Linked DNA regions of Caenorhabditis elegans. The protein of the gene in region 1 interacts with the protein of each later gene in a pairwise test. Each region holds a gene or a part of one and is shown on either strand. Other genes may lie near its edges.

Region 1 (4,307 bases):
CGTTTCTTCGCGTGAACGATTTCCAGAACCAAGGTCAAAGTGCAAAAATTGAAAAAAAAAACTTAATAAACCACAAACACAGCGGTAAACATCTCGAATATTCATGGATGTTTCATATGTGAACATTTTACATCTTGTTAAAGTTCAAGACAGTTTGACAACTTGAAACTATTTCTATAGCTCTACAAACGCCCAAATAGTATTTGAAAAAATATTTAAAAAAAAACCCCCTTTTTTTTGCTATTTTTTATTTGCAAAAGTGTTTTTTTTTTACTTTGTTCCAAGTATCTTTATTTAAACATTATAGGGATTAAAAAATGGGACGCTGTTCAACATTTGTAAAAAAACACACATTGTTATTATTGTATTATAAATTGTAATATTGTATTGTAAACTATATTGTAAACTAAAATATATTGCAAACATATTGTAAACTTGGCAGTTGACCAAATATTAAGCGAACATTTTCAAATAGCTTGTAAAGTGTGAAGTGTTACAAAATTTGGTAATTTAGGATCAATTTCAAAAAAGAATTTTTTACAACTAGAATTGGGCAATAGTCGAAATTCCCATTGCGTAATATTTCTTGGCCATTTTTAATTATTGGAATTTTTCCATTGATGTTTTCCGTGCAGACCTGGCACAGGCTGGCAGCAATGAAAACCAGTGAGTTTTCTCTATTTCTATTTTTCACAGCAGCTGTAGATCAAAAAATGCACATTAAAATTTTTAGCCATAAGTCACAAAATGAATTTACGCCGTTATCTTTTTATCAACTTTCAAATCAAAATTTAACGCTCCCTCGAACATAATATATTTCTTGAAAAGTTCATTAATCATCAAAAGTTTATACACTAGATCTATTCTGCCATATTTCCAAAAATACTGGAATGCATATCATAAACATTATACACCAATGAAATCTCCTTTGTCTCGTGAATCATGTTCATGGTACGTTGAATACCGTGTAGAACCATTATAATCTGACCAACTCGATACGAATGATCTTCGTTGATCCGAACGTTTTTCTCGTAATCAGTCAGTTCTTCGATTATTTTTGCTTTCATCTGTTTGCAAACTTCAATACATTCTTCGTTTTGGTCTAGGAGTCCTGAAATAAATTTTTTATTAAATTTTAGATAACAGCTGAAACATACCATCATCGAAATATATTAACGCAGTGATGAACAAAAATTCGGGAAGATCCAGCTGAACATCATCTAAATGGGTCTTGAGCGTTTGCTTGTTTAACTTCCAGTAGGGTCGAAAAACTCTGCAAATTCAAAATATAAGCACTGGGAGCACTACAAGTAAAACTTACTCCGCAGCAGATTTTGCGCTATTATCATTTTGGTCATCCGGATTACTGTAGTACTCTTCGATTCTGTTCTCATCAATGAAATCTCCACTTGGCAGGTAGAATAAGTCACTGTCTGAAATTTCAGACAAATTTAAAGATGTATTGTTTAAAAATAACTCACTTGTGGATTTGTAACCACCTTCAAAGAGAATGAATGGAACCATGAAGTGTACGCAAAGGAGCTTCTAGAATTGTGACAATTTGAATAGGAAAATTTTCAATTTTTCTAGATAAAAAATTTTTCAACATTGAGTAAATAAAAAGTAAAATTAATACTTCCTGTTCCTGTGAAATATCTGATTTTTTGAATGTCTCCAACAAATGCTCCATTACTAATTTTATGTCTTCAAAGAACACGTCATTCATTCGCTTGTAATTGCAACATTGGGAGACGTGTGTTTCCTGAATATTCTTAAAATTCGAATAAACTATCACTTTAAAACTTACAGAAATGTTAAAAACTCGTTTTCTCGTTTCTTCAAGTTTGTGATAAGCACTTTGAAGATTCTCCAAAACACTGTCAGACGTTGAGGTAGATGGCTCATATGCATCCGGCGACCCAACAATTGATTTCTTATAATTCTGATTCTTCTTTGCAAGTCTTGAAAGTACCGCTGATTCTCTCATTCCAACTTTTAAGCACTTGTCATATCGACAGCTGGCACACAGTTTCCTCATCCCGGTGTCAACTTTGCATTGACGATCACAACGTCGAAAAATATTTCGGCGACCGGCCACCTTCCTACGGAAAAACGCGGCACATGCTCTGAAAATAAAAACTGATTTAGAAGTTTTAGCAAAATCAAGTTCTGGCTTTTTGATGGGAAAAACCCTACATTCAAAACTGGAAATATTTTAATAAACTAAATTTTTAATCTGACAGTTTTTGAAGGAACAATTTTTTGCATACTGTAGTTTATTGATAGTAACACCCAATTTGAAAGTTTTTCGAATTTATCAGCAAAATTTCGTCTATTTTTAAAGCGTAGAACAGTATAATTGGAAATAAATCAGGTTTAGAAAGTGTACAGTTTTTGAACAATTAACAACTATGACTGTCATTTGGGCACAAATAGTCAGCGTTCTGGGTGATCTACGCCTTCATCGTGCTTATTTGGGTTCCTACCAATCTACGAAATGATATTAGCAAGTACGTAAGCCAAAATAAAAAGATCTATAAGAATTAGTATTTATTTCACACTTACCTGCATGACAATGCCCCAAAATGGAGAGAATCAGCAGAATCTCCACAGATCAAGCAAGTTTGCGACGTAGTTTGTCTGGTCATCTGGAAAATTTGAACATTTTGTTTGAAACCGATAAAAACTAACAAGAGAGGTTCAACGAGGGAAATACCATTTTGAAGTGTGAACAAACACAAAAAAGGGGCAATTGCACGTGCTTTCTTGCCCACCGATAACAGGCATTATTGATTTTCACTTATTACGTACACTACAAACTTCTTGTTGGTCACTTTCGTGACATTTTTAACTAATTTTTTGTTTCTTTAATTGCAATTTGAAAAAGTCTATATCAATAACCATCAAAAACGGAATAGAAAAAATGCGAACAGACAGAATAAAATGGATAAATAGACTGCGAAGGGAGACTTGTGAATAGATGAAATTGGATAGAGATTGGCAAAGAGAGACGCAGAGTGCAAAAGACAGAGAGATAGAAACAAGAACTGATCAGTTTCATGTACTTTTTGTAAATGATCGTCCATCGTTTTCTATGTTTTTATATTGTTTTTGATGAATTCCTAAATTTGATATTGTCTAATTACAGTGAATAAAGTTTATGTAATAATTCGTGATTTAGGGAAACCAGAGAAGAAAACGAAGTATGTTTGCTCTAAAGCTGTTGTAGTGAAAACAAACGTTCTTTGTAGTGCAAGTTTAAGAAATCAAGTAATCATATGGAGTGATCAGAAATCATTTCTTAGAATAAGTTTTTAGGATACGGGTAATAGAATAATCTCTAGCTACTGGAAAAGTCGTACGTCTTTAATATGTTCTATTTACCCTAAATAAGTTTTCTGACATTTTTAGATATGAATGTGAACAAATAATATTTCCTTCGATGCATTTTCTGTATTTTTCAAATTATTTTTTTCTACTTTTCACTAAATATCAGTTTTGGCAATCTACAGATTCAAAAAAGCTCTTAAATTCCGAATTTGTATATTTTTAAGGTTTGAAAAAATGAGTAGTAACTTTTGACAAACCAATAAAAACGATTAATAATCTTTGAAGTGATTCTGCTTGGTTCAGAAAATCATGTGAACCAGAGACCACTCCATTTTACGGTTCAATTCGGAAAGCCTTGTCGACAAGGCAGAAAAGCAAATATGAGAATTAGTGCACGTGTTTCTTCAACCAGATAGCAAGAACTATCGATTTTCCTTTTTTTCTGTTTCGTTTTTTTGTAAAATTGCAAATTAGTCCGAATTAGTAAGTATCAATAACCATCAACGAATGTGATTTGAAGAATAATGAGAACCATCACATTAAGTTAGAGAACACCAAAAACAAAGCAAAAATGAGAGTGCGGGAGAGAAACATGCTTGATAAAACATGAAGTTGGCATTTTTTGAAATTACTGAACATGCAATTCAAATTATGACGCAAGAACATACAAGAAGTACAGTTGAAAATGTCAAAAACACAAAAGGCAGATAACATTTCTGTTTGTGCACATTCTCGAACTCTGCTCATTTCAAATGCACAAACTATTATAGTTTGCCTACACGTGTAGGTTGTAGATTGTGCGTAGTTCGATGCGTAAAAGTGTAAAAAAGGGAAATGTTATTGATAAGGGACTCTGAAAATTTTATTAACTTTCCTTAATAACATTTTTTAGCTCCACTCTCTCTCTCTCTTTTTCCTCTGTCTCTACCTCTCACACAATAAATCGACCGGTCGATTATTTTCATGTCGTCACTTTT
Region 2 (4,655 bases), on another chromosome or scaffold:
TGCTGTCACTACAGTGTACCCATAAGAGACGACTTAAAACTAAAAAAGATAAATAAAATTTCAGTTGGAAGGACCAGGACCAGGAGAGGACGCAGCACATTCTGAAAATAATCCACCGCGAAATTTGCTTGCATCGGAAGAAGATAACTTGCCAGTCCTTTTCAATTAACCATTTGATTTTCTGATTGCCTCACAATGATTTCTGCTGTAATTTTAATTTTTTCGGATTACGGTAGGAACTCATTTGACCACTAGTCTCTTATCATTATTTGTAATCAGATCCCCCTTCCTTCCCCTCATCCAACACCCTCCGATGTTCTTCCTGTTTTCTATGTGGTTTCTTCTCGTATAGATTGACAAACATTCCATTAATTTTCCCGTATGCAAGAACAATCGATTCTGTGAATATGTACTCCAACCATTTTCTTTTAAAACTTAAAAATTCCTAACATTTTCCTGCTTCCATTTTCCATTTAGACTCGTGATGTTATCGTAGTAAAGGTTTGTAAATGAAATCTTCAGTAAATAAGAATTTCCACCGCGGTAAGTTGTTTCCTAATTATTTATTTGTTCAGAAAAAGAGCCGTTATTGAATTATGTCGTCGTCGACTGAAAGTGACACTGTGAGCAAGAGAAGAGCCATTTATAATTGCGTTTTTGGAAAGTGGTTTGAGTGGTGTCGTGTGGTCTAAAATATTGAAGATACGAAAATTAAAGTGTGAGAGACGGAGAGGCTCGTTATTCGTGTGAAGAGCCCTTCTATTCACAATTTGTTCGGCAGAACATTTTCCTTGCCTATTCTCTAAATTTCGATATGGGTTTCTATGTAATGTCATCTTCTTGAAATTCTGAATTTGTATTAGTGCACTTAGATATGGGGCGGATTCTTAATTAAGATTAATTAAATACCACTTAAAAAATTTTCAATTTTTTAATTTTCAAAAAGTTTCATAAATTTCTTAATTTATTTTTTTATAATCCATTAATCCTCTTCACTCACTCTGTTTGTGCTCTTCTTCTACTCATTCTCATCCTTCTTTTTGGCCCTTCAATGACATATCCCATTTCGGTTTCCCTTCCTCTTTTTCTCTTTTTCTCTTCTACACTTCTGCCTCTTTTCGTCGGTTTCTCTCACTCTTTCAGGCATTTGACTGACGTTTTTAAATGTGGCTCTTGCTCATTGAGCATCTCGCTCCACGTTACATATAATTTGCTGAAAAGTGAGCTATAATAGTTTCTTACAATTTTTGATAAGTTTTATTTCTCAAAAAAAATAGAAAACTTGTTTGAACAGTTCATAGAAACCTAAATATCACTTTCTTATTTAATTGAAATTGTGAGCCTAAATCTAAATTTAGAAATTTCAAATTCGTATAGCTGAATTTTCTGATTTCAAGTATCTTTGTTTTGGTTCCAAAAACTCTCATTTGGGTAATGAGCACAACACTGAGCGAGTAAAAGTAACGAGCACAACCCAAAAAAAACATTTTTTTTCAAAGTTTTGGTAAATTGCCACATTTTCAAAAAATGAGATTCGAACCCGTAGAATGTTTGATTACGAGCTGATTGAAACGCAAATTAATTGTTACAATTTTATTTATTTTTTAATTGAGTTTCAATTTTATGTAATTAAAGTTTAAAGGGGTTCTACAGTAATCCTCGAAATTATTCAAAAATCCCACATTTCGGGAAAATTTTGAAATTTTTGGTCGACTTACAAAATTATTAACTTGGCCACTTTTTGTCAAAAATTAAAAAATTGTTTTGAAAGGTTTTACCATGATATCTTGGCATATTAGAACTTGTAAAGATAATTTCCCTTTAGATAAAGAAAAGTTTTTAATGCCCTTTTATTTTCTTTACTTTAAAATTGTATTGTTTCGGATTTCATGTTCCTGTCAAAAACACAAAAACAACAAAGAATTGATTTTAGGCGCGCGACTCTCTTGACAGATTCGGGAGACACAGACGGTTAGGAGTCTCTCGTTCGTGTTCATTTCTTCTCTCATTCGTTCATATTGCTTCGGCCGAAGCCTTCGGGATAGAGTTGCCACCTCGTGATAATCAAAATTGGCTTTACCCGTTTTGAATGTTATTGGCAATAATTGTGATCTTTGAATAATCTCAGTTTTGACCCAATTATATTATTTTTAATCTTAAAATCATGCGTAAAACTTCGTGTACATAAATACTCAAGAAAAATTTTAAAAATTGAAAATTAATTTCAGGAGACATGTCGCTCCTCTTCGATCCGGGGTTTGTTATCCTTCGGGAGGACCAAAGTGTGAAACTCTTCAACATAATTCTCGTTATGTCTCAAGTATTCGGAGGGCTCGCCGTTCTTCTGGTTACCATTTGGATGAGCAAGTTTGAAAGTGGATTCGCATGGAATGAGGATCCTGATAAGGAATTCAACTATCATCCGACTTTTATGATTATGGGAATGGTTTTCCTTTTTGGAGAGGCTCTTCTCGTTTATCGTGTATTCCGTAATGAAAGAAAGAAATTCAGTAAAACTCTTCATGTTATTCTTCATTCGTGTGTTCTTGTCTTCATGCTTATGGCACTTAAAGCAGTTTTTGACTACCATAACCTTCACAAGGATCCATCTGGAAATCCAGCACCAATTGTCAATTTGGTTTCTTTACATTCATGGATTGGCCTATCCGTTGTCATTCTCTACTTTGCACAATACATCGTCGGATTCATCACCTACTTCTTCCCGGGAATGCCAATTCCGATTCGTCAACTCGTTATGCCATTCCATCAAATGTTCGGTGTGCTCATCTTCATTTTTGTCTCGATTACTGTAGCCATGGGAATTTCGGAAAGAGCAGCATGGAAGCATACGTAAGATTTATGTTATTATTACGGAGACGCTAAAATTTTCGATTTTTTTGCCGGTCTCGACACGACAAATTTATTAATACGAAAAGGCCGTGGGCCTTTAAAGAGTACTGTAATCTCAAACCCTGCAGAATTTTTTTTCACGGCAAACCGGCAAACTTAATGTGATTTTACTGTGAAAAATCGATGTAAATTCCGCAACAAGAAGTCACATAAATTTTTGCATTTGACGAACAATTGTCGTGTCGAGACCGGATACCGTATTTTTTAGCGCAAAAATCGTAAAATTTCGAGAAAAAAGAAGAAAATTTATATCAAAAAAATCGCTGGAAAAATTGACTTTTTTTTGGATTCAGGGTTGGAATTCAGTTATAATGATTCAGCTTAATCTGAAACAAAAAACTTTTTCTACGAAAACGCTCACTTTTTTTGAAAAAAGCGTTATTTTTTCACCAAAAAACAAGTAATTCCAAGATCTAAAAGTTAATATATTTAAATAAATTATTTTTTCAGTTGCTGGACTAAAGAAGGTCAAATGTGTGCTCAACAAGCAACATCTTCATTCGTCGGAGTCTTCACTTTCCTATACACTGTCTGTGTTCTCCTTCTTGTATTGAATCCACGTTGGAAGCGTCAATCACTTCCTGAAGAAGAAGGACTTCATCATTTGACTTCCAGTCATTCCATGTCTGATTAATTGTCTTCTGGGTGTCGAAAAATCTAAAATTTTCATTTTTTCGAATAATTTTTTAATGTCTGTTTAGTTTTTTGAACATTTTGTTTTCGGAAAATCGAAAATTTTTCGACGACACCCTTGCTCCCAGTGACCAGGAATGGGTGGCGATTCTACAAAATTACCTATTGCACCATGTTGTTCCAACATTTTCATCAAAAATTTGTGTCGCACTATAGAGAATCACATGATTTATCTGGAATTTACAATAATTTCATCTAAAAACTGATAAAAAATGGCCTAAAAGTTGCCAATTGCCGGAAAACAAAACTCGTTAATTCGGTAATCCGCAATCGAGAATTTTCAGGCCCTTTTTGGTAACTTTTTAGCAGAAATTATTGTTTTTTTTAGATAATGTTGGAAAAACATGGCGCAATAAGTAATTTTTGTAGAATTGTCGCCTATCCTTGCCCCGTTGTCCCATATCCCCCGTATTTATTTATTTCTACAATTTTACGATCTCATCTCTCCATGTTCACTAATTGCCTAATCAAATTTCTATCTGAATGCATCGAGCCTATATAAATTCAGAAATAAATATTTATGCACCTGTTAAAACCGAAGTTAAAATGCAAATGAAACAAAAAATTGGGCTGAAAGTTAAATAACCGTAAAATAAATAAGTATTATAAAATCGGGGAGAAATAAACGAATAACCAGTACTAGAATTGATACAAATATACAGTTACATATTGTAGTGAGATAATACACATTTTAAGAGATCGAATAGTAATAATGAGAATGTTATATGACAAATTAAATGTCTCCTTGACTTGAAAGTGACCGCATTCTTTTCTGTCGTCGACGTGGAGAAAGAACTGGAATTTGTGATCTTTGTATCTTTTACTTTTAGTTATTCAAAACATATATATCAAAACAAACACTCGAATTAAGGCCAATTTATTCAATTAACTAAAGGTTGACTGAGAGAATGAGGAAGTTCCTTATGATTTATTTCATGTTTTTCAGTGCGCCTAAGACATAAAACATGTGATTATGGATGGTATAAATTCAGAGGAAATGTTCAATATTTTCAAATTATTCACTTGAAAACTTCAACTTGGCAATAATGAGA

What was found.
Region 2: the proteins of nhr-42 (region 1) and F55H2.5 interact in a two-hybrid assay, tested with the Caenorhabditis elegans proteins (one large-scale study listed by BioGRID).

Annotation. Positions count from the first base shown.
Region 1 is NC_003283.11:6,997,160-7,001,466, reverse strand, and holds nhr-42 (Nuclear hormone receptor family member nhr-42), read right to left. Parts: upstream 2,649-4,307; coding exon 2,566-2,648; intron 2,127-2,565; coding exon 1,808-2,126; intron 1,763-1,807; coding exon 1,637-1,762; intron 1,546-1,636; coding exon 1,482-1,545; intron 1,434-1,481; coding exon 1,322-1,433; intron 1,274-1,321; coding exon 1,158-1,273; intron 1,112-1,157; coding exon 861-1,111; 3' UTR 816-860; downstream 1-815. UniProt on the Caenorhabditis elegans protein: Orphan nuclear receptor.
Region 2 is NC_003281.10:9,509,242-9,513,896, forward strand, and holds F55H2.5 (Putative transmembrane ascorbate-dependent reductase CYB561 homolog), read left to right. Parts: upstream 1-2,228; 5' UTR 2,229-2,233; coding exon 2,234-2,850; intron 2,851-3,360; coding exon 3,361-3,544; 3' UTR 3,545-4,134; downstream 4,135-4,655. Other genes in the region: vha-14 (V-type proton ATPase subunit D), read left to right, coding at 65-169; F55H2.7 (uncharacterized protein), read right to left, coding at 4,337-4,398; F55H2.8 (FIP (Fungus-Induced Protein) Related), read left to right, coding at 4,650-4,655. UniProt on the Caenorhabditis elegans protein: Putative transmembrane reductase that uses ascorbate as an electron donor in the cytoplasm and transfers electrons across membranes to reduce monodehydro-L-ascorbate radical in the lumen of secretory vesicles.